Linked DNA regions of Oreochromis niloticus. The protein of the gene in region 3 binds, or shares a complex with, the protein of the main gene of each other region. Links are inferred from orthologs where the notes say so. Each region holds a gene or a part of one and is shown on either strand. Other genes may lie near its edges.

The links.
Region 1: the proteins of mediator of RNA polymerase II transcription subunit 13-like (region 3) and ccnc are in contact, whole or in part, in a cryo-EM structure (PDB 8TQC), measured with the Homo sapiens proteins. The link is inferred for Oreochromis niloticus from reciprocal best matches to the Homo sapiens genes MED13 and CCNC. Residues at the interface, in NP_005112.2 of Homo sapiens: Tyr1342, Ser1630, His1631, Val1732, Lys1733, Thr1734, Thr1736, Phe1738, Gly1739, Pro1740, Gly1741, Ala1743, Arg1897, Met1898, Ile1901, Asp1905; in NP_005181.2 of Homo sapiens: Gln7, Gln13, Trp14, Leu16, Gln19, Lys23, Gln26, Lys27, Arg75, Tyr76, Glu144, Leu145, Asp147, Cys148, Ser221.
Region 2: mediator of RNA polymerase II transcription subunit 13-like (region 3) and med31 share a complex: the UniProt entries of both Homo sapiens proteins name them as parts of the mediator complex. The link is inferred for Oreochromis niloticus from reciprocal best matches to the Homo sapiens genes MED13 and MED31.
Region 4: mediator of RNA polymerase II transcription subunit 13-like (region 3) and med21 share a complex: the UniProt entries of both Homo sapiens proteins name them as parts of the mediator complex. The link is inferred for Oreochromis niloticus from reciprocal best matches to the Homo sapiens genes MED13 and MED21.

The regions. Positions count from the first base shown.
Region 1 is NC_031980.2:6,952,148-6,960,523, reverse strand, and holds the start of ccnc (cyclin-C), read right to left. Parts: upstream 3,304-8,376; 5' UTR 3,080-3,303; coding exon 3,019-3,079; intron 2,336-3,018; coding exon 2,155-2,335; intron 1-2,154. Other genes in the region: pgm3 (phosphoacetylglucosamine mutase), read right to left, coding at 6,345-6,434, 6,558-6,731, 6,974-7,096, 7,181-7,300, 7,425-7,523, 7,611-7,694, 7,799-7,956, 8,039-8,234 and 1 more. UniProt on the Homo sapiens protein: Component of the Mediator complex, a coactivator involved in regulated gene transcription of nearly all RNA polymerase II-dependent genes.
Region 2 is NC_031975.2:31,352,454-31,359,634, forward strand, and holds med31 (mediator of RNA polymerase II transcription subunit 31), read right to left. Parts: upstream 2,778-7,181; 5' UTR 2,597-2,777; coding exon 2,587-2,596; intron 1,796-2,586; coding exon 1,721-1,795; intron 1,639-1,720; coding exon 1,542-1,638; intron 1,428-1,541; coding exon 1,211-1,427; 3' UTR 746-1,210; downstream 1-745. Other genes in the region: slc13a5a (solute carrier family 13 member 5a), read right to left, coding at 5,704-5,832, 5,929-6,066, 6,352-6,513. UniProt on the Homo sapiens protein: Component of the Mediator complex, a coactivator involved in the regulated transcription of nearly all RNA polymerase II-dependent genes.
Region 3 is NC_031979.2:25,760,917-25,769,340, reverse strand, and holds the start of mediator of RNA polymerase II transcription subunit 13-like, read right to left. Parts: upstream 3,426-8,424; 5' UTR 2,622-3,425; coding exon 2,556-2,621; intron 1,687-2,555; coding exon 1,452-1,686; intron 412-1,451; coding exon 243-411; intron 1-242. Other genes in the region: c18h3orf33 (protein C3orf33 homolog), read left to right, coding at 4,532-4,732, 5,009-5,068, 5,213-5,372, 5,924-6,084, 6,168-6,425. UniProt on the Homo sapiens protein: Component of the Mediator complex, a coactivator involved in the regulated transcription of nearly all RNA polymerase II-dependent genes.
Region 4 is NC_031981.2:34,716,273-34,723,674, forward strand, and holds the start of med21 (mediator of RNA polymerase II transcription subunit 21), read left to right. Parts: upstream 1-4,334; 5' UTR 4,335-4,390; coding exon 4,391-4,474; intron 4,475-6,434; coding exon 6,435-6,549; intron 6,550-7,402. Other genes in the region: fgfr1op2 (FGFR1 oncogene partner 2 homolog), read right to left, coding at 719-856, 2,206-2,319, 2,404-2,546, 2,686-2,803, 2,982-3,118, 4,099-4,123. UniProt on the Homo sapiens protein: Component of the Mediator complex, a coactivator involved in the regulated transcription of nearly all RNA polymerase II-dependent genes.

The DNA.
Region 1 (8,376 bases), on a different chromosome or scaffold from region 3:
CGTTGCCAGATGTTTTGACTCAAAAGACCATGCCAGTTTCTATGGTGAATATTTTCCAGCAAGGGGATATTGATCATTGGCCTCATCTTAAACCTATTAAACTTCACAACATTGATGCAGGTGTCTAGCTACTGATAGGCACTGATGCTTCCAACGTTTTAGAGCCATGGAAGGTGATAAACAGTGTGGAAGGTGGACCTTATGCTGTAAAAACCAAAGTTGGCTGGGTCATAAATGGTCCCCTGCACACTGGAAGTAACAGCGGAAATAAAAATTGCACTGCTGTAACAGCCAATAGGATTTCTGTTGAGAGTCTAGAAGAAATGCTGATTAAACAGTACAACCATGACTTAGTGAAAGATCAGAGAAGCAGACTGAAATATCAAGAGGGGGATCTGTGTTTCATGGATATTGTTAGTAGCTCAATAAAACTTATTGGAAATTATTATCACATTGATTTGCCTTTCAGAAGAGAAAGTCCCAGCTTACCAAATAACCTCTGTGTGGCGAAGTAGCATCCCCAGAGTCTCAGACTGAGATTTGAAAAGGATGCTTGCTGTAAGGATGAATATACTGCATGTGTAAACAAAATGCTTAAACAAGGATATGCTGAATTTGTGCCTGCAGATGAGTTGCAGAAAAGTGATGAAAAGGTGTGGTACATTCCTCATCATGGAGTGCATCATCCCAAAGGGCAAGGAGAGTTTTATTTGACTGGAACAACTTATAAAAAGGAGCATCACTGAACAGTCAGCTTCTACAGGGACCTGATCTCAGAAACTCACTGGTTGGAGTTCTGATCAGATTTAGACCAGAGTCTGTTGCTCCGTTTCCTGTGGTGGCAATATGGTGACACTACAAGGCCTGCACAGGAATACAGGATGAAAGTACATTTGTTTGGAACAGCATCTTCACCAAGCTGTGCAAATTATGCTCTACAGAGAACTGCAGATGAGAATGCACAGCAATTTCCAGCTGAAGTGGTTGATCCAGTCAAAAGAAACTTTTATGTGGATGACTGTTTGAAATCTGTTGCTTCTGAAGAGGAGGCAGTGCACATGGTGAAGCAACCCCGAAAAACACACACACACACACACACACACACACACACACACACACACACACACACGATTTTGACTGTTTCTTATAGACTTTTACTCACTGAAACCGGAAAAAATATTTTTAAAAATTCCATCGTGTCAGGTTGTCTTGCAAAAGTCATGTTTAGTGCAATTAACTGTACAATTTCCCCTTTTAAGCTGAAATCTGGCATCCTACTTGAGTCAAAGTAGGATGATTTCTTACATGAATTTAATATTTCTAAACGCAAGACTGAAGAGAAATACAAATAGAAAATGCTCAGACGATCATGTCCGGTTTCATGTCCAGGTTTATTTTGTTCATAATGAAAGGCAAGGAATCTTAGGAAAATTATGCCTAGGTAATTGTAATAAAATATTTCTTTCATCGCTGTTGTGCTTTTTGTAAACTCCTCGTGCAAAAAAAAAAAACAAAAACACAAAAACAAATAAACTGTACATGATGGATTGAGCACCCTAAAAAAAAAAAAAAAAAAAAAACAACCACACAACACACACAGACTTTACCAAACATTATTTTGCAGGCCTGTGTAATTTGTGTGCCTTTGATGTAGAGCACCTGATTATGCTGTAAACAGTTTTAAATGGTGATGAAAAACAGCTGAGACATTGGCTGCATTTTTAGGTAAATCGTTGCATTTCAGTTTGTAGGTTTTTAAAGTTTAAATTAAAATAAACTAAAGTTATGAAAAGGAGTCGTTAAACCCGCTTGTGGTTTTTGACTGTTAAAAAATAAATAAATAAATAAATAAAAACTCAGATTAATTGTGTTAATGCATTATGTCAAAATGAAAAATAATCACTTTAAATTCAGACATGTGAGGTTGTGCCAAAAAGAATGATACCAGACAAGGCCAGATAAACGCAACACACACACGGAGGTAAAATCAAAAGTAATCCAAAACCGGCCAATTATACACTGGACCCCAGAGGGTCCAATGGTTTATCGTTTGGCAGGAAACAACGAAACATAGGGGGAGTTTCACTGTGCAGGATTTTCTGAAATGGAGCCTAAGGCGGGGACTGTGTGATATGATAGCGGAGTTTGCCTTACTTGATTCGCAGCAACGGAGAGGAGGGAGTCGGCCGTTTGCAGGCAACAGAGGAATATTCCAGAGCTGAGTAATCAATGGCAGAGAACTGGAGAGCAGGCAAGTGAGTTCCGGTTCTCTCTTTTGCAGGAGTAGAGAGAATGAAGTATGAACGTGGAGGTAGCAGTGTATGGAACACATAACCTAATGGAGACAAATCAGGTGAGTACGGAGACAGAGGAATGAACCAAGGTGCTGTTACTAGGGAGATGATAACAGAGTTACACAGGGAAATCACAGGAGAAAACAAGGTAACAAATGTGATTTACCGCCATAGATGAGCAGATGATCTGGTGAAAAATGACCATCCCCAATGCGCCTAAAAGCTGCTGCACTTTAAATATCTTTATAAACCTATTGTTATATGCGTTGTAATTTCTGCTATCGTCTTGGCCAGACTACTCTTAAAAAGACTTAAATGCCAATTACACTATTTATCTAGTTTACAAAGGATTTATAAAAGTGCCAAAAACTTTGCAGCTTCTTCCTTGCGATAGGAATGTTGTTTGTGGCTCAAGATTACTTGATATCTTGTATCGTTTTTGTTAGGACTGATGGTCACAGGCTTGCTACGGTTTGTCATTTCCCTTCATCAAGACCAGGTATTTAAGGAGCACCTGTGGCAGAAGTTCTCTGCCTGAACATTTTTCCTCTACAGCGGTAACTCAGCCAACCTTCGTGTAATTTAATCCAGCAAAAGTAACCACAGTTTCCCTGGCAGTCCTCCTTGTGTTTCCTGAAGTTCAGTCTTCGAGTTGACCCTTCCTCTGGAAAACATGGAGAACCAGCAATGGTCGGACTCACACTTCACCTAGATATCTGCTTACCTTGTAATGCTGAGGATTGGATCCGTTCGCCCTCCACGACACTAAGCCTAAGGCTGCTCATCTTTAGTCAGCCACCTCCTTTGCCCCCACTCACACAAGTCAGCTTCTACTACAGTGGGTGGGGTAACTGCAGAGTTACTGTAGTTTAGCATTCTCTTCTTTTTTAAATTTAACTTACTTTCTAATGTGACCGTTTATTTCAGCTTAGTTTTTGTTTGAATTGCTTTCATTTAGTTTCTATTAGTGTCACTGTTAGTTTACTTCAATATATGCATACTTGCATGAACAGTTCAGCAAAGCCCCAAACACCGCACAGGCTCATCTGGGATTTGAACCCAGTACCTCTCACACCCAACGTGAGAATCATGGCCCTAAACCAACAAGCCACAAAAAAAAAAAAAGAAAAAAAAAAAAGATTTTTAACAAAATTCATATTTCCCAACTGCTAGGAGAAGAAGGCATGAAAGATTGTCTTAAATGCTCAGAAATAATATCAAGTCCATTTGATAGTAGTCTATTTTTCTTCATCCCAAATTAACTGCTTTGTGTTTTGTTCTTAGACTCTAGAGTAGCTTTGAAGGACTCTTTTGGAGAGACAAAAGGCTGCCCTCAACAAAGAGACACTCATTTAAACCACTTTAAGATCAGAATTATTACAGAAAAGTTAAAGAAAATACAGATGCAAAAAAGTACAATGATGCACATAACAAATAGAAAAATAAAATGACTGAAAATAAAATTTGCAGTTGCTCTCTTTCTTAACACCGTTTTCATGAAACTAAACAGAAATGAACTCATAAGCTTCATTTTCTCAGCTCTGAGTGCACAGTGAGTGACTTCTCTCTGCTGAATTTGCAACAAATATAACTGTTAGTGTGTTTGAACCATTCAGGCATTACTATATGTGCTCTTAAAACCACTAATTCGCGCTGAATGTGGGTTTCACCGAAGTAAACAGTCTGAATCTTTGTATACATAGAGCATTGTTAGTAGATCACATCATAATAATTTGTCTCACTTAGTGAAAATGTCTCATAACACATCTTATTTTCTTAGTGCGATATAATTTCACATAAAATTGTCACAGAACTAAGAATAACAAAATAACCTGAGCATGGTGAGCAGAGGGAAGGAACAGGAAACCAGGAGGCAGGAGAAACGCGAAGGCAACATGAAGGAATGACACACAAAAACAGACCGACAAGGAACAGAAGGAAACACACACCATAAATACACACAAGTAAAGAGGGAAATACGCAACAGGAGGGAGACACAGCTGAACCTAATAAGACATGACGAGGCAGGGAGGAAGCAAAACACAGTACATTGACACTGGATACAGACTTTCAAAGTAAAACAGGAAACACACAAAGGCAGAGACAAGGATGACAAGGAAGACACAGAGAACACAGGCTGTGTCCCAATTTAGGGGCTGCATCCTTCGGAGGACCGGACCTTCGCGGTCCACGTGGGCCGGGTCCTCCGAAGACCAAGAAGGCCGGAAGTGCAAGGCTTGTGAAATGGGACGCTGCTCAGGTTGCCTAGCAACCATGATACAACCATGATAAAAACGCTTCATGCAGCATTGTTTGACAGAAATGAGGGAGACTTTTTTTTGTTCATCTCTTTGTTTTTATATGAGCTTTGTTTGATTTGATAAGTATCTGAGGCTGAGACAACGGGACTGTAAAAACATGATTGTTGGGCTTCATTTCTGTACGGAACAGTAATTTTAAGATTAGCTATTAAATAACAATTAGCTAATGTTGTTCATCAGACTAAAGTCATCTCACTTTGGTAATGTTACTATAATATGGCCAATATTAAATTTATTATTATATTAATCATTATTAGTTATTACAGCAGTGAGTTTAAACTCTGTTTCAAATACTGAGCTTCAGTAAAGATTCAATTTGTAGTTATTTATATTTATAGTATATATAATAGTATATATATATAAATATTTATATGTATATGTACAAGTATTATATATAAGAGACAAATATTGTTCTTTTAATATGTTGGCATTACTAAATTTGTCTGAATGTTTACATATATGTGTGAAAAGAAAATGTACGAGCTGTGAGAACTGTTTCTGATAAAATGAAGAGTACACTGATATATTAAATGTGCCTTCATAGGATGAGAAAATCATACCATGTCATAACTGCTTTAAGTGATACAGAATAGATATCAGAGCCTTAAACAGGCCGACTTCTGGTAAATGGGTCAAACTGGGCAGAAAGTATACAAACACATAGCATCCTCATAGAATATGATGTAACACTATAGATCAACTTACCTCAAAATATATAAAGTATATAAACAATTACAGCAATATGATGCAACTAACACAGCAGTAATACTAATCCAAAATACTCAAAGCTTCATAGAACTGAAAAAAACTGACATTTATTTTTAGGTACATTCTGCTACTGATACATACTTTAGGTTTCTGAATAGTAAACTTGTTAGTGCCTTTCATAGTGTTTAACTTGAAGGTCCTGAGTACTTACTCCCACTTTGAAAACACTTGAATGATAAAATTATTTTAACATTACCTAATAAGACTGATTCAGGACAGATAATTAGTTATTTTAAACTTTTCTGTTAGTCCTTCACACAGAGGGAACAGTCTGTCAGCTGGTGCCGACTCTTCTTCAGACACTGCTGAGTTTGTCCTGGTGGATCATCAGGGGTGCAGTCTCACAGATCATCTGCAGCAGTGGGTCCCTCAGTCTGTCCTGACTCTGGACACTTACAGTTGTCACACATGGAAATCAAATGTGTGATAACCTGCATGTATTTATAAGTTACAAGTGTAACTTATAAATACATGTTTTATTATCCAGAATGTTGCAAACATAGTTGTGGTTTTCATTTCAATCATAGAATTCTATCAGTGTTACTTCACTGTAATTAAAAAAACCCCCACTCTCCTCTTTATCCATTATTTAATTCAAATAATAGCAGCAAAGCCGATTCAACAGTCGTTATGTAAACTTACATGATTTAATGAAAATGAAGGGAATTATTTAAAATAACTGCTCACAAATATCTGGGACCAAGTGAAATGACAACCCTCTTTAAAACCAGTTGTTTGACTGTTTGAATTTTATGTATACACACACACAACTCCCCCAACCTTTATTAATTCCCCTAATGTGTACCCCATCATCAGAGTGACAGTAATACAAGGAAAATAAAGACAATATAAAATCATTTGGTATCACCTGACTTCAACAAAATAAAAATAAAAATAAAATAATGATCAGCAATTCTGTAATTCTGATTGATCAATATGGTGTGTTTGTGTGATTGTGCTTCTAATGCAATGGTTTGGGTTCATCCCCAACTCCTCCAGCAAGGCGATACACAGCAAGGCTGACTTCGTGTGCCAGGGCGTCAGCACTCTCCTGAAACAACACAGAGAGCCAGAGTATTATTCACAAAACAATTCCCTTCCAGATATTTTTTAACCTCAGTAACACTGCCATGAGAATCAATAACAGAGAAAGCTTGGAAAATAGATTTCTCACCTGCGTGTCTGCCTCTGCGTATACTCTCACCACATCCTCGGTGCCGGAGGGCCTCACGAAGGAGCGAGCCTGTCTGTACTTCTTTACTAAATTGTCGATGGCCTCCTGCAGGCCTGCTGGGGTCACCGCCCGCCTCTCTGCATCTGTTGTGTCTATCACCCTGCGGTCCGCCACCTACAGAAAAAAAGAAAAAGAAAAAAGATCACCCTCAGGAGCCACTATCTCTAACTGGCTTGAAGTAGACACAGACACTCTACTATGTGCAGGGTTACAGTACACAAATGTTTATCTAACAAAATAAAAGCCTCCTTAGTTTGGGTCGGCACTGCTGTAAATTAAATGTAAAGTGCTGTATTTCTTTCTATCACTCACACTTTATATCCTGGATATAATACATAACTATACAATATGAGCACCTTGACTTTAAGTTGCCTGTTTGGCAGGTCGGTATAGATGGTGTCCCACTGCTGGATAGTCATCCCTTTGATGGCTAGTATGGCTTCAATCAGCAGCATGTCAGAAATGGCATCTCCTACAGTCTTTAAAAGAAAATATCGACGTTAACAACAGAGCTCCGGTGTCTGCATGAGCTCAGTTCAACACGGATGTCAGTGTGAGCGTGCCTGGTTGATGACGTTGATCGTGTTTCGCAGCAGGAGAGCTGCTTTCTTCCTCTTGTCGTTGACGTTTGTGTCCTCGGCCAGCTGCTGGATTTTCTCTTCAGCTGCCTTGCTGAACAACACCTGATCCAAACACAAACAAACACAGGACGACACATTACTTCTGATTTTTGGAAAAATCGAGACAGGTAAGCCTTACAGGTGATTTTCAGTGCATTTAAAGATGTGTGCATATGTGTGTACTCACTGTTCCGTGGCCATTGGCCTCAAAGTACACACCGACATCAAACTCCTGGGCTACATGGTGAAGATGCTTCACTCCAGTCTTTGTACACCTCACTAAGACCTAAGTGGCAAATAAATCTGTGAGAACTGTCCTCTCCATATAAATACAAAATAAAACACCTGAACTCTCTGTGGAATTTTTTGTCACCTTCATTGTGTTCTCCAGATAGTGTGTTGAACTTCCATTAGCGTACGCAGTTTGCACCACTGCTATCTTCAAGTCTAGTCCAGCCTGTGCATTCCAAGGGAGAAAAAATACAAAGAACAACCATTCTTGGTAAGTGGGTGCCTGTATGTCATTTTCATGTTCGTTTGTTTGGTTTTTTTAGAGTATACCTGTGTGAGCAGCTCTTTCAGGAAAGTGCTGATGAGGGTAGCCATCTTGTCTCCATCCAGCAGGTGAAATGTTCCTTCAGAGTCCGTGTAGTAATAAACTATTCGGTCGGCATCGCCATCAAAGGAACAGCATCGCTCTCCTGGGTTAATCTTAATGCCTTCATGTGAGAATGCAAGACAGGTCTCGCATATTAAAAATATTACAGTACATTCAAGTAAATTAAATGGCCCTATGCGCACCTGTTGGGGGTTTTTGCTGCACCTTCACATAGTCGGCTCCACACTGGTGGTTCAGCCTTCCTTTGCTGCCATCATTATTAAGAGAAATCTGTAGCTCTTTCTTCAGGTGACTCTCCATCTCACGTACCTTCAGAGCCCCGATGCCATTAGCGCCATCCAGGCAGAGGTGCTTCTGGTCATCCGTACGGTTGGACGTCTAATGGTAAGAAAAACATGGAGGAGAGAAAGAAAGGAGTAGTTCTTGGATGAATGAATGTATCGTAAAACACATCGACACAAACAAACATAAAGCGACTGAATGCAAGAGCAAAACAACACACTTCTGCTTCTTACATTCT
Region 2 (7,181 bases), on a different chromosome or scaffold from region 3:
TAGCTTTTCTATTACGGCTGCTTGGCGTGTCAGTATTTAACAAAAATGACTAAAACTATATGTCCGGCTTTCTTTTTAAGTGAATTTCATAATAAAATTTGTTTGTTTGCTTTATCAGTCAGCTGACCTCTGTGAATGGTGTTTGCACTGCTCGCTGCACGTTTAATCCTCGGTCCTTCATCTGTCATAAACAGAGCTCTTAAACTTTTACAGGTGTGCTGAGAGCAGCAGGTAACAACACACCCAATAAACAGAGGGTCCAGGAGGGCTCTCTCTCTTTGTCTGTTGTGTCGTTGTCTGTCGCTTGTGCTCAAGGCTCTGCAGCCTGGGGATGCTTTGCTTTGTCTTGTTGCTCTGCTCTTTTCCACAGGATCTGTTTTTAATAGTTCAATTTTTAAATTGGATCTAAAAATAGAAGGATTGCGTTTCCTTTTAAAATGTACATCATGAGCCACCCTCACTGAATCACTGTTTAATGCTCTGCTGTAGAAGTGATGATGGAGTGAACCTTTGCTCTGACAGAAAAAAGAAAAGCAAAGAAAATCCGATTTATTTTATTTTACTGGCCGTGATAGAATTCTCTTTGTGATGAAGCGAGATCTTCTTCATGTGACCTGCATCAGACCACCTCCTCTAAGAGTCTCCTCCCACCTTTCCTTCACATCAGGATATTTCAGGTCAAGGAAAAGAGGTTAGGAAAAGGATGTAGGAGGTCATTGTTGTTATTGAGCTGACTAACACAAAGGAAGCCTGCATAACTTTATTGGTTTCATCAACACGCAAACAGAAACAAACTCTTCACATTTCAAACATTTTATTAGAACAAAGGATGAAAAAAAGGTCCAACCACACCCCTCTCCCTCAACTGGACACTCAGGTGATCGCCGCAGGTAAAAACATGCCCCATCAGGCAGGAGCTCACTCTGCAGCTGGTAGGACCTGACTGAGCAGCAGCACTTTAAATTATAACCTCTGCTGTCTTATCTGTTTCGGTCTCTTCCTGCTGAGACCATTGGACTGACAAGTTCCAGGAAATAGCCACATCCATAAATCCAGGAGAAATTTTAACTTGAAAATTGCAACAGGAAGGTCAAAGCTGATGCTTCCCATCAGCTGATCAGCTCCCACCTCAGTTCCTCCCCTGCAGTCTTTAATGTTCATGTGAATGGAGAAATAACCTTGGCATCCCAGCAGCGCTCCAACTCCGTCGTCACTTTGCGGCGGCGTTGCCGTGCGGCGGGGCCGTCTGCGGCTGCGCTTGCGTCTGCTCGGCGAGTGCCTGCTGCAGCCGCATGCGTTTGCGTGAGTAGTGCTGCCAGTGCAGCAGCTGCTGTTCGTCAATGAACTTGGCGCACTGAGCGTTCACCAGCTCCTTCCTGAAGTGCTCGTACTGCAGCAGCTCCAGCATGTGCAGGCAGTGGGGGTACCTGCAGTGGGCGGAGTCACAGAGCAGAGGTCAGCTGACAGAAGGTTGACAAACATCACAACTTTACTCTCACACAGAAAATTGTCTAAACCAAGAATCAAACATGTCGCCGTACTTGAGGAACTTGGCGTACTCGGGCTCCTTCCAGTACAGCAGGTACTTCAGGTAGTTGATGAAGGATCTGTCCCTCAGGATGCCTCTCTGAGCCAGAACTGGAAACACAAACACACAAAATCTCCGTCAAACTCTGGCAAACGTGAAGCTGCGAGAGTTTCTGATCACAGCATCACTCACAGTTCAGGTAGTTGGGATTCGCCAAACACTGGACGAACTCAAGCTCCAACTGGAAACGGTTCCTGGCCTGCTCCTCTGCACCGGGAAGCACACGAGTTAATCAGTAACACGACATTCAAACCCAACAACACCGATTATCTTGAGATCATCAGGAGCACACGTGTTTAATTACAGTAATAATGTCCCAAAGGATTCAATTCACACTACACACACGCCAACATAACACAGCCATGAGAAAGCATGTTTTTATACCAGACTCCATTAGAAAAAATAGCAATTTAAAGACACATTGTTTTAATCCACCCTGAAAACTTTAAACAGGCAGTTTGGAAATTAAATTTAATGTAACGGTGAATTATTGAGAGCCGAATTAAAGCGCGAGTCTCAGAGTACAGTCTTCAGAGTCCATTCCCGGTTATCTTCAAACACACTCACTTAAGCTGATAAATCAAGTTTGTTCTTAATCTGAATAATTTCTTGCGACGTAGTGAACAGGACAGAAAAGACCGACACTTTGCAGCCTGACTTAAAGCTAATCATGAGTATACCAACGTATTTAACAACACATTGAACCACATTTAAAAACAACCAAACCTTTGCTCCCTTTAACTCCCTTAAATAAAACCAGTAATCCCAGCGCCGCCAGACTCCATTAAAAAAGTGACAATTTAACGCCGCTTTGTCGGTTTGGGAAAAGCCTCGTTGTCAAAGTAGAAAAACAAGATAGAGCACATCTAAATACCATCAGCTGCTCACAGACAGGCTTTTAAAGCCAACAAAGTAAAACTTACGGATTTATTGGTGTTTTGTCTTGCAGGAAATATTAGCCTAGCAGATTAGCATTGATCAAACAATCTGCTACAAACCTGTTTCCATGGCTACAGCCTGAAGGCACCAGTAAGTAGATGAAGGACTTAAATGTCAGATAAACTGTCTAAAAATGTTTAAAAGGCAAAAATAAGAAAAGAAAGCCGGGTTTTGCTCTTTTCAGGTTTAATCGCTGCTATCAAACGTGTGCAGACTAAATGACGTAAAACTTCCGCCGTCTTCGCGACATCTACGTCGCTTTACGCCGCCTGCTGTTCGTTGTTTGGCCGCCAGAGGGAGGCAACAGACGACAAGAAAAAAGCTCCTTCAAACTACCACAAATAACTTGATTACACTTATGTAATAATAATAATAATTTATGTGAGCGCAATATTCACAGGATAACTAATAATAATAATAATAATAATAATAATAATAATAATAATAATAATAATAGTAACAATTTTTTCATGCACAGAAAAGCACTGAAGATGTACTTACTATACTGATCAGGGTGCAGTCAGATGATGAGAAAACCAACTAATGTGCTAATACTGTGACTGTGATCATGTACTATTTCAGGTCACAGGTGACCTCTGTTCTATACAATCCTTCAAAACATTTTGCTACTTATACACAAAACTAAGAACCTTTCTTTTTAGATTTTGTATTAGTATAAAAAACAAAGCACAGCTTTCTTCAGTTTGAACACATATTGGCTGTATATGTCTTTGTCAGTGTAAAGGTTCTCTCCTGTTTACCCTCTAAAATATGTTGGATGTTGTCCTTGTGTAAACCGTCACACGCAGAGTCTAATTTTCACCCCTGCAGAATCTCCAGGTTTGGTGCTCAAAGATATATAAAAGTCTGCTGGAAGTTTGCAGAAAGTTACCCGAATGCTTTTCACCCCTGCAGAATCTCCAGGTTTGGTGCTCAAAGATATATAAAAGTCTGCTGGAAGTTTGCAGAAAGTTACCCGAATGCTTATCAGACCGTCAGCACCAAAATCTTCCAGTCTGATGAAACCAAAGTTCAAATATTGTGACACAACACACAGTGATATGAGTGGAAGAATACAGGCACCGACTGCAGGGATGTGGGGATGTTGTATTTTAACATAGAGCGAAAAACAAACGCAGAGCAGGATCATTCAGTAGGACAATACCCCAAAGCACATCATCATGAACACAGGAAGGCTTGGACTGGCCCAGCCAGAGACTGGACATGAACCTGATAAAGCATCTATGTAGAGAGCTGCACCTGGCAGTCACTCAATCTCTGCAGCCAACATAGCTGAGCTGAGAGGTTCTGCCAAAACCAATAAGAGTGACAACAAGAGTGACAACAAGAGTGACAACAAGAGTGACGTCCTAGACTAGACCCTGTCACTGCTTTCAAAGCAAGTGCAGAGTGAAAAGCATGCCCACTAATATTGGACACTGCTAATTTAATGTTTAGTGGACATTTGAAGTGGCAAAAGAATCATTTAATTATCTAAGTAAATCATTTTGTCCAAATCACATTTTTCCTCCCCCAGATAAAAGTTGCAGCTAAAAGTTTGACCACTGGGGGGCAGAGTTTCACCTGGATGTGTGTTGTTTTAATTTAAAATTCTTCTTTTTAGTCTTATCCTCAATGTCAGTGTCCTGCTCTTCAGCCACATCGATGCACTGCACCATTTTTTGGTACAAACGGCATGAAAGTGCAGCCTGGCATCAGCTGAACTTCAGCTGATATCACTTCAATATAAAACTTAGATGTTTTTGACATAAAATCCAAGCTTCTGTTTGTTTCTGTTCAAACTTTAGTTCACTTTGGAAGATGTTCGTTTAAAAAAACCCAGCAGAATTTACAAAAAGTGCATTTAAAGATCGATCTTTATTAATATGAAATAAAACTGTTAACAAGATGGTACAAAACATCACATATGTACAGAACACACTCATCAGCTCGCATAAAAACTGTGTTATTATGTTTAAATATAAACCATATAAAATGTGAAGCATATTTACTAATTACGCTAAAATAATTCCAGTTCACAGGGAAAATAGTGGTTTCTTCATTGGGAATTTTCCCAGTCAGTAAAGTTTTGCTGCAGCTCTTCTAGAGTCAGTCCTCCAAATAAAAAACACAGAACAGCGAAATAATCACAAAGAAAAAAACTTCACAGCAATCAGGAAGAAAATTATAATACAGTATCCTCTGCAGAAGAAACAATCTCATTAACATAAACTGAAACAGAGCCCTGTGGCACACCTGCTAACAAGCAGTTTCACACATTTATGATGAGCAGATAAATATCAGGAGCAGCAGTTTTTCTTATTTTACTTCAAACAAAAAGAACAATTTTATATGACATTGTTATTACAGACAACACTTTATTAAGTGTTTTATAATCATCTTGTTTAGGTCCTGTTTTCACCCTCTGTTAAACTTTCTCCGTGTTTCCATGGTTTACTCACAATGTGCTTTCATCCTTCATCCTTCTCAGCTTCTTCATCTTTTTTGATGCCTTTAAAAAAATAATATTACACTCCTGACAGTACAGCTTTCTGAAGATGTTTCAAATTAAAAGCCTGTGATGTTTTTTTTAATTTCAGGTTTCTTTCAGCTGTTAAATGTTCATCAATGTCATTCAATAGTTCTTTTTTTTATAATTAAAGGGGCAACAAGAATTTGAATGTTTGTAGTTAGAGTCCACAGTCCAGCTCATTTTAAGAATCCATTTAAAACTTGTGGACTTGGAATTGTGCATGAAGCTGTTGTTGTTTGGCACTAAGATTGCTTTAAAGACACTATGAACAAATACTAAAACCTGCACTCTATGTTAAACTGTAACCTCAGTTTGTGTGTATTTATTTAACACCATCATGTACAAACATATAAAGGTAGATCTAGTTTTTCAATCCACCAAAGGTAACGTAGACTATATTCCTTGTATGTGGGAGTCCATTAATTGCCATTAATGCTACTCTGTAGACAGTTTACTAGAACGTGCACATGCACAATGACACAAACAACAAAATCAAGATGATGTTTCTGGTGGCTCAGAAAGTGCTGCAGCACGAATATAAAAAACAAACTCCTTGCAGGGAAATGCCCAGATGCTGGAGCTGAAAGATCAAACCTGAAAAAGTTTTTATGTGCATAAATAAAGATGTGGGAGGATGTTGCTCCTATACGGGTGCAGTGACGTTGGCCCATGAGGGGAAAGTGTCCAGAGAAAACAGGACCCGACCCCAGCTGTTGATGGCCAGACTGATGCAGCCGATGCCGATGATGTTCATCACCACACCTGTTTTAGCCTGTAGGGGGCACAGTGGCAGAGGAAGAGGAGGCTATGATGACAGAATGAATCAGAATGATTATTTCTTTCCAACTGGAAGAAATGAAGAACTCACCATGTCGGACACTTTGAGGAAACCGGAGGAAAACACAATGGCATTAGGTGGGGTGGCCACCGGCAGCATGAAGGCGAAGGAGGCGCTGAGGGTGCAGGGGATCATCACGTACAGAGGGTTCAAGCTGATGGACTGGGACTGGGTCAGGAAAAGGACAACAGAGTCATCAACTTTACCGATAAACTGGCTTCAATGGCTTTTTTTCCTGTTACATTTCAACACTTCCTGTTCAGATGTATCATAATAAACGTCTGTCAGTGGCTCAAAGGGTGAAGCTCCTTCTGTTCTCTGTCACCTTATGATATGAAACATCTGTAGGAAGTGCAGCAGCTTGTACTTCTACTGTATGCTGATGATAATGAACTGTTACATCACACTATGCATATGTACAAATACAGTCTGTGTTGCCTGTGTTTTTGGTACCATGGAAGCCAGGATGGGCAGGAAGAGAGTTGCTGTTGCAACGTTGCTTGCACATTCAGTGAAGGTGGCAACGAGCAGGCAGAGGATGATGGCGATGGCCCACGGAGGGACTGAGTGGAGCGGCGTCATCTGATCACCGAGCCAACGTGACAAACCAGACTCCTGAAAAACCGACAAGAAAAAGCAGGACTTCAGTCTGAGTCTGAAAGCAAAGGTTTCTCTTTACTATTAATGAAAACTCGATCTGGTGTCTTTACTTTTCCATATTATATAAGATTTACTTAATCTCATTAAACCATCTGCACTGTGCCCATACAGAGCAGAAGAGTCGTTTCGTTTTCATTTACTCACAAAGTCTTAGTTGTGTTATTCTCTTGGCTATCAAAGTGTATTTTTAGTTTATTCCTTCTACAAATATCAAAACTAAGGTTGCATAAAAGAATTTAACAGAAGGCCGCCACAGATCTAACCTGTAAATGTCTTTGAACTGTAACTAAAAATCAAGGCTGACGTAATAAAAGAAACCTCGTGGTGGACTTGGTATCTAGTGATTTGTCATCTTGGTCCTCATTTATTCTTTTTATTAGTGCTGTCAGCGTTAATCTCGTTAAAATGATGTTAACGCCATAACCGCATTAACGCGCCAAATCTCTGTTAGCGAGTTAACGCGGATCGCCCGTGCGAGGGGCTGTACGTTGTTAAGGTGTTAACGAGCTAGCCACAATGACGTGTTGACGCCGTGCAGCCTTTGCACGGGGCGATCCGCGTTAACTTGCTAACAGAGATTTGGCGCGTTAATGCGGTTATGGCGTTAACATCATTTTAACGAG
Region 3 (8,424 bases):
TGACTAATGTTTAACCCTTCAGCACAATCACAATTCATGGCATTTCACTCCACTGACATGTTTACCTTAAGCAATTGTATTAGCCCTTTTGTGTTATAAAAAAAACCACCCTGACGTATGCGTAAGCTCAGGCTTAATGTGGAAAGGAACTTCTGTTGCGTCTTTGGTTCATAGTGAACTTTGTCTTAATTTAACAATTCACAGAATATCCTACAATTTTTCTAGAAAGAAGCAGGACATACCTTTTGTTAATGGTCTTCTCCTCCTTTTGGTATGGCTTGACAAACCACTTGCCAATACGAACAAAGCCCCGGTTCATGAGGCAGCGCTCCAGCAGGTTGTGAATGGCTTTGAACAGGAGAGTTCGACACTCATAGGATAGGCCACTTTCCCACTCACCATCCTCCTCACCTGAAACAAGGCAGATGCAAACATGATGACTTTAACAATCAAAGCTTTTTTTCCTGATAAAGCTAACCAGTGTTAAATGTACTTGGTTTTGTCATACATGCGTAGCCTTAATTTGGCTGTGCAAAAAACAAGAAGACCACAGTTACACCTGCTCTACCGCGTATAAATACAGGAAAACATTTAATATTAATAAAAGTCTTAGTTGCTGTTATGTAATGACGTGATCCAAAATAAAAGGCTTCAACCCAGTTACTGACTTATGTAACAGAAAATAAACTATTTTGTTAAATTACAGAGAAATTATTAGATTAGGTGAAGCTTACTCATGCCATTCCTCTCTGATCATCAAGAGCTATACTCCCTGCATAGTGGAAAATTCAAATTTCCAACTATCTTTGGAGCTCAAGAGAGATTTGAAAAATTGTTGCCAACTCTGTCTCTTTAATGAGCAATTTCTGCAAGTAACACTTCACCCCACCTGGGACAAAATACCTGTGTGTTAGCCCCTAAGGGTACTTTTTCTCTAAGAATATGAATATGAATATCAACAAAGCAGGATTGAATCTCCAGAAATCCAGAGGTGTGTCAGGTGACTATGATGCACAACAACTTGTTCTAATCCTACCATGCAAGTCTGTGTCTCTGTGGCCGTGGGCCAATCAATTCCACAAGGCTTTAAAGACATTCAAAGACCAGTTAGCCACAAATTCAAGGGCCTTAGAAATTATTTTTAATCAGACTTTGCATCATCAAAAATGTGTAAGAAAAATATTTGATACAGTAAGCATTTCAGGACAGCATCTCTAGGAAGTATGTTATTAATATCAACAATTACACACTTCAATTTAAAATTGTTCAGATGGCACAAACTGAACTAAGTGCTGTGAAAGCACAAGAGTCCACATATAATTTGGGGTAAATCACCAAATAATATTGGAATTTAATTCAGTGAAGTGAAATAAACATTTTCATCTAATAAACTCTGATGCTGTCAGAATCACAAATCTTGCAGTATTCGTGGAGAGGTTAAATGCACTTACTTAAGAGCTCATTGTGGATAAGCTCTGCAAAACTGGGGTCATCACCCCACCAGAAAAGCCAGAGCTCTCTGCGACCCGGGGTGTGGTGCCTCCTCCAAACACTCAACACATCTGCCGCCAAGCATCGGCTGAAACTGCACAAGATTGGGTCCTCCTCAGTCACAGGGAAAAGGATAGGCGAGGAGGTGGGTCCTTGCCACACAAAACGCCGCCATTTTATTCCAGTCAAATCAGCCTTAAAGAGAAGAAGAATAGTGATGTGAGAATGTGAGAATGAACACAGAGACACAGAGAATAACTGCAAAGCATAAAGCCATTTTCCAGTTGTTTACTGCACAACTCTTCATGCATCTTGACCTAACACACTGCAGTAACAAGACAGCCTTTGCTGCTAAAATTACTTTCAATTCAATTAATTTTATTTTATTTATATAGTGCAAAATCACAACAACAGTTGCCTTAGGTGCTTTATATTGTAAAGGTATAGATCCTACAATTATATTGAGAAAACAGAAAAAGGAAACTTTGAATAAGCAAAGCTGAAAATTGAGGTTTGTTTACACTGTTGAAAGTTTTCCTGTACTCTTTACACTTGCCAAGATGATCACGCCTGAAGCCATAACACCCAACTATAAGGAAATAATTTACAACCAGCAAGTTAACAACCAATGACAGACCTGTCAGTTTAAAACCAGACTGGTCTGTCTCAAAATGGTTGGTGACAGCCACAATTAATTTGCATGCAGTGCAGTTTAAATCAAGGAAAAACAATATGTTCAGCTGGTTTTAGAGAAACTGCTCGTTTAGTTGTTCTTTTTACCACCATGTAAATAACGTTATTGCTAGCGGAATATTTTAGCACTCAGTGCAGTGTAAACACAAGATCGTGCCATATTTATCAACCAGCCTTCAAAATAGTTGTCATGCAGAATGTGCTGGCTCTGTTATGAAAGTTGGCTCAGATCACGATTTGTTAGTTGCAGGCCCGATGCCTTCACTCCAATCTGCAACTGACGTTACAAGGCTTGTTGCCTTATTAGCCAAAATGGCTTTCTGGCCTCTCAGGATCGCTAACGCTCGCTAGCTCACAGAACAGAGTCTTACCAGGCAGAAGAGGTTGGAGTGGCAGTCCTCCAAACTGGCCCCGTTTGGTACAAAGCACGAACTCATCCTTTCACTGCGTAGTTGTAACGTTAAAATCCATGTTCTCAATCACCTTCGGGGGGCAATAGCCGATCTGGGTAACTCGCTTGCGAAGCTATGTTCAGCTCTAATTATCCCGTTAAAGCGCTGCCAACTTGCTAGCTTCAGCTAGCTGACGCTAGCCAAACAGTCAACTTCTAACCGGCGCTAGCCACCACCACTAGCCTGGCAGCTAAGCTAACGTTAGACAGACAGCCAGAACGCGTCAACTGTAAGCTTCTCGCTATACGATTCATCAATCCTATTTGAAATGTATTGTCTGATCTGGTTAGCCGCAAGCTTGCGGCTACATCACCTCAACATTAAATAATCATCGATAACAAATCGAAGAAAGACTAGCGTTAAATACACCACCGGAAAAAGTTAAATGCGCAATAAAAATACGAGCTCAAAAACTTAAAAGAAAAACTTAGATGCTGGTATGCTAATGCTAATGGCAGCTAGCTGCTCTGAAACAATTTCAAAGCGGAGGAACTCGCCCCTCCTCCCCCTGAGCTAGCCTAGCCTGCTAACACATTCGCTAACATACCAGAGCTCCAGCGTTAGCTCGCCAGCTAAATAAAACAACCCGCTACGCCGCCCTCCTTTTCACCAAAACCACCATGGTGCTCCGTCATATTAAAACTACCCTTAAAACGAATGAAACACCCCAAACTAGCGTGACTACTCATCAGCTACTCTTCTCTGCCTGCTCCATAGGTCCTGCAGATTTCCATTATTTCAGTTCATGTATTGAATTCTTTAATGGCGGCCAGGAGGACAACTCTGCCTCTTAGCTCCTATTGGCCAATTTGTGGTAATGGGGGCGTGATCCAGCTTCAAGTAGCTCCATGACTTCACAGTTTACAAGATGAAAGCTCCAGTGCATCTGTCATGCAGTGGTCACTCCTCAGTGATGCCTGTTAACGTGCATGTTTCACTGTGCAACATCTGCTGCATGGACAGTTATGGGAAATATTTGGTGAATTATTGTTGGTGGTGGGAACATGTGTGTTTGTTTGCATTGTTATGTAAAGGTAAAAAAAAACAAAACCAACTGACTTATTCTATTGTCTTCTGGGGGCGTTTGCTTTGTGCATTGAATAATAATAACTAGATGACACGAAGTCATCTAGTTATTATTATTTTTATAATTATTACTGAAATTCTTTCAGGAATACAGTGGTGCAAATAAAGAACCAACATTTGCATGAAACACAAACACTGATCAGGCTACATACATATAGTTGACAAATTAATATGTATATATGGGGAAAATGAACAATAAAGAAAAAAACACATTCAGTACTGAGATTTTATTTAAGTGCATTTTTGAAATTTACTTTGAAATTAATATAAACAAACTTTTTCATGCATTGCAACAACCCTTAAGAAGCAAACTCAGTTCAATCAAATAAAACCCCTTTGTTCTAGATGAATCTGCAAATATGTTACTGCAGTTTAAATTTGTGTGCATTTCAGAACAGGTGGATTGCACCTGATAGAAAAGGCATTAATCACGAGTTAAATCTTTATACTTTTTAAATCTAACAACAACAACAAAAACAGACATAAACAAATAAATTCAAGGGAAGATTTTAAATAATGAAGAAATCTAGGTCAAACTGTGTAGACAAAGATGGATACGTCACTGATCCCAGCGGTGTTCAATAATGTGAACCTCAGCTGCATTTTTGCATGGACAACTTTTTCTCTACCCCCTCCTCAACGTTATTGCAGCGCTAAGTAAACAGCTTCGCCATCCACCGGGCTGGTTATTTTGGTGCTTTTTATGTCACACGGGCTGTGAACTTGATGCTTTCACACGCATTGGACGTGCACACCTTCCTGTCATTTCCACAGCAGACCACAGGGCGGAGCCTCCGCACGAGCCTTCAATGGTGAAACTTCCCTCCCCCGAGTGGGCGGGGCTTCGGATGCTTCGAGAAAATGTCAACAACATGCCGCAGACTTCCAGAGAAACAGAAAGTGAGGAGGAAATGAGGGACAGACAACAAAGAAAGGAAGAAACCCCGGTGTCTCATAACATCGTGACTTTACTATCTCAGTTCGCAGATGATAATTTAACGCTCGTGCGGGTAGGAGTCTCCTTTGTTTGAAAGCTGGGATGCATAGACAGCATGGTTACTTGACTGTCAGCCTGCATCTGCTTTTAATCTTTCACTTGGTGGTACCCTATATGTTGAAAGGAAGGACTGTGGTCTCATGCAAAAGCCTTCATGGCGCTGACCAGATGTCCTTTCTCTAGTTGTCCCCAGCAGAGTATAGTGCTCATGTGCATTATCAGTGACCAGCACTTTAGCCTGGTTGGCAACATCACTCTCATCCCTTTACTTTTCCCTTGTCTCCCACAGAATATAAGCACTGGACTGGCCATTGCTGGTGTAATTGTCATAGCAAGGAGTATCAAACTGGTAAGGGAGAAAGACCCTCAAATGTTCAAAATGTTGTGTGCTATCTCAATTCGCTCTATCAAATCGACATCCTACTACATAGGATGTCATTTTTTCTGTGTTTTTCTAGAATGAGTCATTCACTTGTCTGTTCCACCTCTGTAGATCACAAAATTTCAAGCTGCGTGTGACATCCCCACACGTTTTATTGAGAGGAACGTCAGCCTTCGTGGGAAAGTCCATTCCATCACAGAGAAAGGATTTAAAGTGGAGCACGTCCCAATTTATCTGCCTGTTATCTCTCCATTACTTTCAAAGTATAAGGGTAATACAGGAGAGAGAAGATCATGAAAGCATGTGCACTATCACACTAGAAATACACGGTCTATACTATTCAGAGCCACTAATCTATGGCTTAGCAGCGTAATTATTTCATCTTTTTGCACCATAATATAATTGTGGCGTTTTTACTTTGCAAAGTCGGATATATTTTATTAAACTGCCATGACTGAAAGTGGCAGGTAAGCCTGTTAGCTGCTATATCAAGTCATAGTAGTCACTGAGCAATGAAATCATAAGGTGCAGCATCAGCTACTTCACCGAGGACACAGATAACACGTTTGCCCCACCTGACTCAACATTTCAAACCTGATCAGTCATTTAGTATAGAGAGGGTTCAATTTGTCTTTGCATCTAACAACAATTTTTTTTCTTTATTATTAAATGTAAAATGCAACATTTCAGTAGTGACACCACTAAACTGTTACATTATGCTTACACTACTAAAAAAATACAGTTTCAGGCCTTGCTCAAAATTCATATTCTAAACAGAATACATAAAATGTCAGGTAAATGCTTTGTCTTTCTTCTTTTCAGATGTGTCTACATCCCTGCTGCTGGTCCATCTTGCAGGAGTGGAGCTGACACCACAGGGGAAACTATGGCTGGAGAAGAACGTGGCCCCTTCCCAAATGGTGTGGTTGAAGCTTATCAGCCGAGAGGACGACATATTGCATTGTTTGGTGTCTCAAAGCAGGGTAAGAGAAACCTTATGTGGAAAATTGAGTAATTAATTTCAAGTTATAAAGTGATATTTCCCTGTCTTCTCGCATCTCTCCAGAAGGGGTCATTGAGGAGCTACTGTATGAACGAAGAGGTACTCAGGCTCGGACTGGCTCGCACTGCCCCCGTAGCTGGTGTCCTCCCTGACTCGCGCCTCTACTGGCGTCTCCACAGACGACTGCACAGGGCAGAGGTGAAAGCTGAGAGGAAGGGTCGGGGTATGTGGAAGGAGGACACCCTGTGGGAGAGAACTTCCAAAGCTATCAGGGACAACGCTGTATTCAGACTGTTGAAGAGGATCTTTAAAAGAACCTGATGCACCAAGTGAGCGATGATTTCCAAGTCAGAATCACAAAAAAGTTTGTTGGAAGTGTGGAAGTGGAAGCCAAAAATGTGATATTTTACATTCCCTTTATTGTGCACTTAGGATTTCTTTAAGTCTTTGATCTGCTTTATTTTCTCTAATACTTAAAAAAAATTCCCAAGAAGTACATTTATACATCAAATCCTTAGTGCACCTGTTGCAAACGATTGAAACGTGTTTTACTGTGTTTCTCAGTCATAAAAAGCTTGAAATTCTTAAAAAGGTTGTTGAACGCTCTTCTTCAATCCCTGAGCTTTCATTACCAATTAAACTAGAGCTAGACACAGCCTCGCCTATTGGTGTGTGTGTGTCTGTATGTGTGTGTGTGTGTGGGAAACCCCACTAAACTCAAGACGGGGGTGGGGTATTTAATGGTGTTCAAAATAAAGGGGGGTCCACTTGTCCACAGTTGCTATAGAAACACCAAATGTGAAATACAAAGCGACTCCAAGGCTAAACTCTATATTGGTGGCCCCCAAACCCCATGGGAGCCTTATATATTGAGTGTGTGTGTGTGAGGGGGCTTTTAAGTACCTATAAAGAGGGCCCTTTTAGTTGTAATGTGACCAGTACATTTAAGCACTAAGCACAGTGGGAAATGGGAGATCAAATCTGTTTGTTTCAGAACGCTACATGCTGTTATTGCAGGCATGATTGAAAAATCTCATGAGTGATATTTATCTGCAAACGTTATTCTAATCAGCATACATTGACACCTGCACCAAAGCTAATTTCCTGTTGAGGATCATGCTCCTGTTATTGCTTTTTCTTTGCCAACATTACACCTTGTGCCTGTGGCTGTTACTCATGCTTCATCTGAGCAAGGCAGATGAGGAGGAGGAGGAGGTCCTGCAAAAATGAGGCCAGTCAGCGATGCGTCCTGAGGGGTGCGGGGTGGGGGAGTCACAGTGTAGCGAGAGGTGAAGCAGTCAATCCAGTGGGGCACAAGGAGATTAGTGCAGAGGAGGAGGAGGAGGAGGAGGGTCACTGGGGTAGAAGGGGATTTTGAGTTTGAACACAAAGGCAGAAGAGGAGGAGTCACAGTAGTAGGGAAAGGGAGTGAAGGCGGGGGATGATGAATCAGATTTCTCTTTTGTTGTGCAAATGTTACTAGCCACTGTTACTGCCTAAGAGGCTGGTGATTGGTGGGCTGGTTTAAATTGTAAGGTGCATTTCAGGCTGATGGCTGTTGCTGCTAGACTTTGAACTGTCACTGAGGGAGGAGTGGGAGGGAAACCACGGCTGTGACAGACAGCAGGAGGAGGGCAACGTTTCTAAAGCGACTGATCACAGAGAGAGTGTGCCGTTTAATCAGGATGTTTAAATGTTTTAGTTAGCTGTTGGTGTAACTTCCTCTTGTATCTCAATTAAATAATAGTAATTTGATATTTTTGGAGATAGCTGAGCAGTACTGATATATAGTAAATAGTTAATAATTAGTTTACATTTGTCCAAAGGTAACCTTGATTTAGAAGAGCCTGTTTCTTATACACTACCAGAAACATTGATGACTGTTACAGTGACAAGTATACTACAGTTAACATTTTGTGCAGATAAAGAAAAATAGAAATGGATATGTCATAGTGGAGAAAGTATCAGTAAAGACGCCAGCTTACGGAACCTTATGCCTTTAAATGTTGAAGTATTTAAAAAGCCTGTTGTGTCTTTTTAGTTTTAACTTAAGTAAACTGAAATCTGAATAAATTATGAAACACAATCCAGTCCGAAATCCATTCCAGGCTTTCCCCAGTTCACTAGTCCCACACCAGTAGTAGTCATTTGAAAAGGCACCATGCTTGATCTAGTGGTGGGTTCTTACCCACACAGTGAAGTTGTTGGAGTCTTCCCTTCCTGAAACCAGACCACTGGGACTATAACAGTGCACTAGTGCCTAATGCTATGGATGTCCAGAGCCTGAAGGACTGCTGTATTACTACCAGTGAAAGTGGCA
Region 4 (7,402 bases), on a different chromosome or scaffold from region 3:
CTTCCATCCTCTGAAATGCACAGACTGACTGCTTTCCAATAACATGTATAATAGTGGATAAAATTACTAATAAATCTAATGATATAAATGTGCAATAGTGAAACAATGAAGCACTTGTTTACAAGCCTTTCAGTGGAGTATAACTACACTGTGGTTTGACAGTGTTGAAAATTTCTATTCCACAGCTAGCAGCAGATGCACCTCACCCTTTGGAGCAGATCCTCTCTGGATATGGTTTCTATTCCCGCCGGTGACAATATTGGTGGGAATAGAAACCACTTTTACTGACATGAATAGTGAAAGTGAGAAGTTGTGTATCCGCAGGAGCAACCAAAACAGAACAAGAAACGTGTGACATTTGGAAGTTGACACAAACTCTACAAACAAATTTTCTTGTTTACAGATTTATTTGAACTCAAGCCCTTCGTTTACTCATTTACACCTTAAAATGTTGCAGGCACTGCGGGCTCGTGCATGCTGCCAAAATGAACAAAATGTTACAGCAGTACCAAGAAACAAGAAAAAGAACAAAGGGAGGGGGGGTGGCTCGCTGCTTGTTGCCCGAATCATCAGACAGGGATGCAGGTCTGGAGCAGCGATGTTCTAAATGCACCAGGAGACTCAACATCTGAAGCGGTCACGTGGTAACAGGCTGTAGACTCTGTACCCTACAGCGGCAGCAGTAAGGGGCTGGGGGTTTGGTGGGCCGTCCTGGGCTTTAACTTTTTCGTAAGCTCACGTCGGCACTAGTGAGCAGTGGCGACAGCGACGTGCTGTCTGATTGGTCGTCTCTCTTCAGAACCAGAAAAGCTTCCCGACTGATTCCCAGCAGCTCTCGGAGTCCATTGTTCTCCAGCTGAAATACACGGAGACAATGTAAATGCTGTGTTTAATGCAAACAAAAACAGAATGATTTGCAAATCCCATAAACCCAAATTTTATTGAGCACAGAGATTTCTCCAAATTCTCAGAATCCTTTGAATTTATCAAGCTGAAGATAATTAGATATTCAAAGTCTTCAGAATTATATGTTGACAAATGTTATTCTGAAATTGTTCCACAAGTTGCAGATGCAATTTTTTGCAGATTGATGAACCTCAGCACATCTTTACTTCTGAGAAACTCTGCCTCTTTAAAATGCCTTTTTATACCCAATCATGTTGAGTATTAATCTTTATGCCAGTTAACCGAAAATATTCCTTTTTGTTTACCCCATCCCAACTTTTTTTTTTTTATTTTTTTTTTTTTATTGCTAGTATTAAGTTCCAAATGAGCTACTGTTTTTCTTAAAATGCTACTTATTCACTACTGTGAATAAAATATGGGTTTATGAGGTTTTAATCACTTACAGTACATGTTACAGAGTGGAAATTTGATTTTTCTTTTGTGTTTCCAAGCATGTTAATATGAAGGGCCAAAAGTATCACAGTAGTAATCAGAGTTTCTGCCTGGGCATTTCAAGGATCGGGGGACTATTTTAAATCAAAAAATATAAAGCAAACAGTTACAGTAGGACGACTCTTTGGAAACAGTTAAGAGTTCAAAAGCTCACTGTTGACATCTGGTGGTTAACATGTGGAAACACTACTAATGGTTCTTACTGTCAAAAGCTAAAGCCACCTAGCAATGCTAGTTCGCTAAATAGTAACATAAATCTAACTTTTATGGGATTTATGGATAATTTCAAGTAGTAGAGGTAAAGGTCAAAAAGCCTACAAATATATCTGTTTAACCTAATGAAAATAGAGAGGTAGGATGTCTAAATGACAAAGTAGGTCAAAGGAAAAAAATAAAGCTTGGAGGAAATGTAAATAAAAAGGCTAATTTTTAATTTAAATGCCCTGTTAAGATCTGCTTTGACATCTCAACTCAACATGAAGCTTTAGTTCATTTTTAAACTCCAAACTCACACTGAATATACTGTTAAAATAAATAAATAAATAAATAACGGAGCACATGAACATTTTTAACTATGACTTGTGATCCAGTTTTGACTCCACCCCTCAGAGCCTTGATCATTTAGGTTTCCACTGATGACTTTTATTGGCCTTTGTGTCAAGTGTCAATTTCTTTGACACTTGTGATCCTCGGTGTCACATGAACAGACATTTGTTTGGGTTGATTTGTAACTTCTGTGGATTTTTTGTACCCTCCCCTGGTCTGAAAGCTTTGGAACAATTGGAAGTAATGCTGCTCGGCTTTTACCTCTAGCTGTTTAATCCTCTCCTCATCTTCACATATTCGCTCCTCATCCACCTCTATGGCTTTCCTCATCACGGAGGCCATTTCGTTGATCTTGTCTATGTGTGCTTGCATTTCCTGCAAAGATTTTTTTTAATGCACAAGAAAAGTTAAAAAAAAAAGCAAAATAATACATTAAAAGTACTTGCACCAGATACTGACCGTAGTGTGCTGCTCCTTCAGCTGGGTAACGATGGCGGGGTCGTCCCTCTTACTGGCCATGAGAAGTCTGAACACCTGCTCCCTGTATTTGGTCATGATGAGCTCTAAGGCAGACTGATGTTCTTCCAATGATGTACGCAGCTCTACATGAAGTATGAACAAGTTTGATTTACGGGAAGGATCAAATTCCGGCTTTATATTCCACAAATCAAAGCAAAACTAAAAATGCACCGGCCATCCGATCTCTCAACAGAAGAGTTGACATTAAAGGAAACTGCCTACCTTTGTTTTCCTGCTGGAGCTCCCTAATTTGACGGTTTTCCTGCTGGATTCCCAGGACTAGACTGGAACGAGGCCGATGCCGTGCAACCTCGTTCAGGGCGTCTATCTCCTCCTGGTACTATCAATAAAAAGAACAAGCAGAAAAACCTTCAGTCTAAAATATAAAATGATAGATCATCATAACAATTAAAAAATACTTTTTAAAAAGTGTTATTCCAGCTTTTGAAATAAACTTCATGGATTCTACATCAAATGCTTTAGGCCTCACATTTCCCCAAGTTCATGTGACACCCTACCTGTTTCATGGCCTCTACTCGCTTGTTGAGATGTGTCGTCTGTTCGATTAACATCTCAGCAGCGTTGTCATGGTTGCGAAGCCTTTCCACTAATGATTTGGCATCTGCCAGGACCTTCTCTAATGTACAGTTCATGCCTGAGGAAATACAAGTGATTCTTAAGAGGAGCTAGGACAAGGTTGCTTGCAAACATAGTAGTCATCCACCTCGTCAATCCTTCTTTTCTTCCCTTAAGTATTACATTTGGTTAAAGCAATTATCCATTAGCAAGCTATTCATTATAGTGATGACTGACACTATTGAATTATATCTTATTAAAATAGCTTCTTTATTTAAAGGTAGGCTGACTTTGTATCTGTACATACAGCAGCTGCAGTCAAGTGAAAGTTTTCTGGGAACTCTGAACAGTCCTAAAAAAACCTATGTATATACCATGATGCAGTGGCTTTTTGCAAGCTATTGCTGCTGTTAAGCAGCAATATGTTACAGCAGCCTTTTTCTATAAAAGTTGTCTTTTTCTATATGATAATCACTTTAATATGTTTTAAACACGACTTAAATCAGAAATGCTTGATCTAGATCTATTTTGCTTGATCAAACAACAACACCACGATATTGGTATTATATAATTTTAAAAATATCTGAAAACCAAGAAGTAACCTCAACTGAAGCGTCAGCTCTGACTTCAAAATACCAGCTAAAAATCATTCATTGACATTGTGTCTAGGCTTTCTCCTCCTCGACCTACTCGTCATTACAGCTGCTGTGTCAGCTAATTCGCTTATTACGAGCAAGCCTTGCGTGTTTTAGGCGTCAGATTCACTTTACATAATTACTTCTGAAGCACATTCGTCTCAGCTATATAAAACGTGAAGGGAATTAGTTTCTCAGTTTTCCAAATTCAGTAAGCTGACAACGTAAAATATATTTTAACAACACATACATACATACATACATACACACACAAGCTGGGCTCACTTATTAGCCAACTTACTAATCAGAGTTAAGCTTTCATGCAAATCCACTTACATGCTCGCATTATAAACGGGTGCGTATATCAAATCGGTGTTGCCATGCAATTTTAGATAATGAATTAAAGAAACAAAAATGATCATACCTGGGGAAGCCACAGTACAAGACATTGGAATTGCGTTAACTCCGCTGCTACTTCCTGTTGATGTTTAGTAGCTAATATTAGCTAAAGGCTAACATTAGTCCTCATAAAGCAGCCACAAACAGGGTCTAATAAAGATCCGTTCCTCGTTAAAATAGAAGATAACCTCCGCTGATATGAAAATATCGATTTTTAACGCGTTTCAAGTTTGCTGTGAACCCAGTTGTGAGACGGTAAAAGTAAGTAACCCAACCTTTGCCAACCAAGGTTCCCAAAATACCGAATATACCGCGAGATGTTTTATGTTCTCGCGACAGTTACGTCAGAAACAGACAATATGGCGGACCGGCTAACACAACTTCAAGACGCAGTCAATTCGGTAAGGCAAATGTTGAATATCTTAAACGTTCTTTGGTAGAAGGAGGTGTAAAAAAATATATAAAATGCATCGTCATGTCGATTAGAGTTGGTAGCTAACGCAAACCAGTGGCTCGAGTAGTTTAGTAACATGTGAACAACACGGGGTAGCTAACCATTATAGCAAGTATAGTTAAAGGCCTGTGTTACGAAACGACCAAACCAGCTCAGTTATTTTAAACAACGAAGTGTTACAGTGTTAAAACGTCGTTTTGGCTAGCTTCCTTGAACAAAATAATACAAAATAAATATATTTGGAAAAGAAAAATACTAAACTAACGTGGGAAAGTAACCCCAGAGGGTCAACATTTGATATTCAGAAGTATTTAACATGCAAAAGTAATTTCTCTATATTTGGCTTGCAAGGGACCAAATTTTCTTATTTATTTCAGTGGTCTTGAACAGAAGTTGAACTTAAAGGAATTACGAATGGAGAAAAGTAGGTCAGATTTTGATCCTTCATGTTGTACCAGCTTGCTAGAATATTGCAAAGTCTGTTTTTGCCTTACATACTGTATTTCCACATATTTTTTCCCATTTCAATAAAGTGCTGCACCTATTTGTCATTTTCCAAAACAAACAAACAAACATAATAATAATAATTATTTAAGGGTGGTTCTAGACCAGGGATGTCATTCTCCTTTTGCTTGGTGGCCTACATACAACACACTATGCACTTTGGGCCAATCAGTGAAACTACCCTTTCTGTCACTTACAGTCAGAACTTTAACTACACATTTAATCCCTGAGACATTGTAATATAGTTTTTCTACACAATAAAGAAAAGTTTGTCAGTGTGACTTGTTGGGCTTAAATTGTAGGAAATAAATGTGTAAAATTGGAGATGCTTGTCCATGCCTTCATCTCCTCTCGTTTAGATTACTGTAACGCACTCTTTTCTTGTCTGTCTAAGGCTTCCCTAAATCGCCTCCAAGTGGTCCAAAATGCCGCAGCAAGGCTTTTATCCCACAGTCATAAATTCTCCCATATCACCCCTGTGTTAAAATCCTTGCACTGGCTTCCGGTTGAGTATAGATATCAGTTTAAAATCCTCACTTTTACATTCATGTGCCTACAAGTGAGGCCCCCACTTATATCACTAAGCTTCTCCAAACCGGATCCTTAGATCCACTGATAGTGGTCTTCTAACCATTCCATGGACCCGTTTGAAAACGAAGGGGGATTGCGCTTTTCAAGCCTTGGCTCTAATATTATGGAACAGTTTACCTCACCCGCTACGCACCATCAACTCTGTAGCTACTTTTAACAGCTCAAAACACATCTGTTTAGACAGGCATTTAGGTAATATTCATGTGTAGCAAACTGTTTTACTGGATATGCTACTATACCCTATTTATAGTGTTTTATTGTATCGATTGATATGCTTTTATTCCCATGTGAAGCACTTTGAAAAAACTTCCTGTTTTAAAAAGCGCTATATAAATACATTTTACTTACTTACTAAAATAACAGAAAAAGTTCTTTTGGCTTGTTGTGTAGACTGTCCTGTAATAATATATTTTGTAATGTGACCCCATTGTAAAAAGCACAGATTTCTATAGTAGATAGTTTAAAAAATGAACTTTCTCTCATTTCATTATTTGGGGGAGGTTTTATCTTCAGGAGAAGCTGTAAAACTTATGAAAATACAGTTAAAAGTCCAAAACTTAAGCATGCCTTCACATTTTTACAGTGGGTAAAATTGGATTCTGGTCTCCGGGCCTTATGGTTGACACTGGTAAACTAAATATCTATATTTTATAATAATAATAATTTTAAAAAAAAAAACATACTTTGGTAAAACTGATGAAAGAAATGTCTTTAAATTTCTTTTGTCTGAAGTTTATGTTATCAGCAGCAGCAGCTAGTGTCTTGTTCAAATAACAGCGTAACCTATTACTGGTTTTGTTTTGTGTGTCCAGCTTGCTGATCAGTTTTGTAATGCTATCGGCGTTCTGCAACAATGTGCACCTCCTGCATCCTTCAGTAACATCCAGACAGCTATCAACAAGGATCAACCAGCAAACCCAACAGAAGGTTTGTGTGTTTTTACTATGACATTATTTTTAACCATCGTTTTTATGTCACTTTATATCAGCTGATAAATATAAGGTGCCCCACCGGGAGACTCTGTTGTCCTGCTGGGAGACTTCAATGCTCACGTGGGTAACAACAGCGAGACCTGGAGGGGCGTGATTGGGAGGAACGGCCTCCCTGATCTGAATCCGAGCGGTGTTTTGTTATTGGACTTCTGTGCAAATCACAGTTTGGCCATAACGAACACCTTGTTCGAACATAAGAGTGTCCATAAGTGCACGTGGCACCAGGATGCTCTAGGCCGCAGGTCGATGATCGATTTTGTAATCGTATCACCAGACCTGCGACCATATGTTCTGGACACTCGGGTAAAGAGAGGGGCTGAGCTGTCAACTGATCACCACCTGGTGGTGAGTTGGATCAGGTGGCGGGGGAGGACGCTGGACAGACCCGGTGCACCTAAACGCGTAGTGAGGGTGTGCTGGGAACGTCTAGCAGAGGCCCCAGTCCGCGAGATCTTCAACGCACACCTCCGGCAGAGCTTCAACAGCATTCCGAGGGAGACTGGGGACATTGAGTCCGAATGGACCATGTTCAGCGTCTCCATCGCCGAAGCTGCTGCATTGAGCTGCGGCCGCAAGGTAGTTGGTGCCTGCCGTGGTGGTAATCCCCGAACCAAATGGTGGACACCAGAGGTGAAGGGAGCCACCAAGCTGAAGAAGGAGTCCTATCGGGCTTGGTTAGCCTGTGGGACTCCGGAGGCAGCCGACAGGTATCGACAGGCCAAGCGGAATGCGGCTCGGGCAGTGGCTGAAGCAAAAACTCGGGTGTGGGAGGAGTTCGGAGAGGCCAT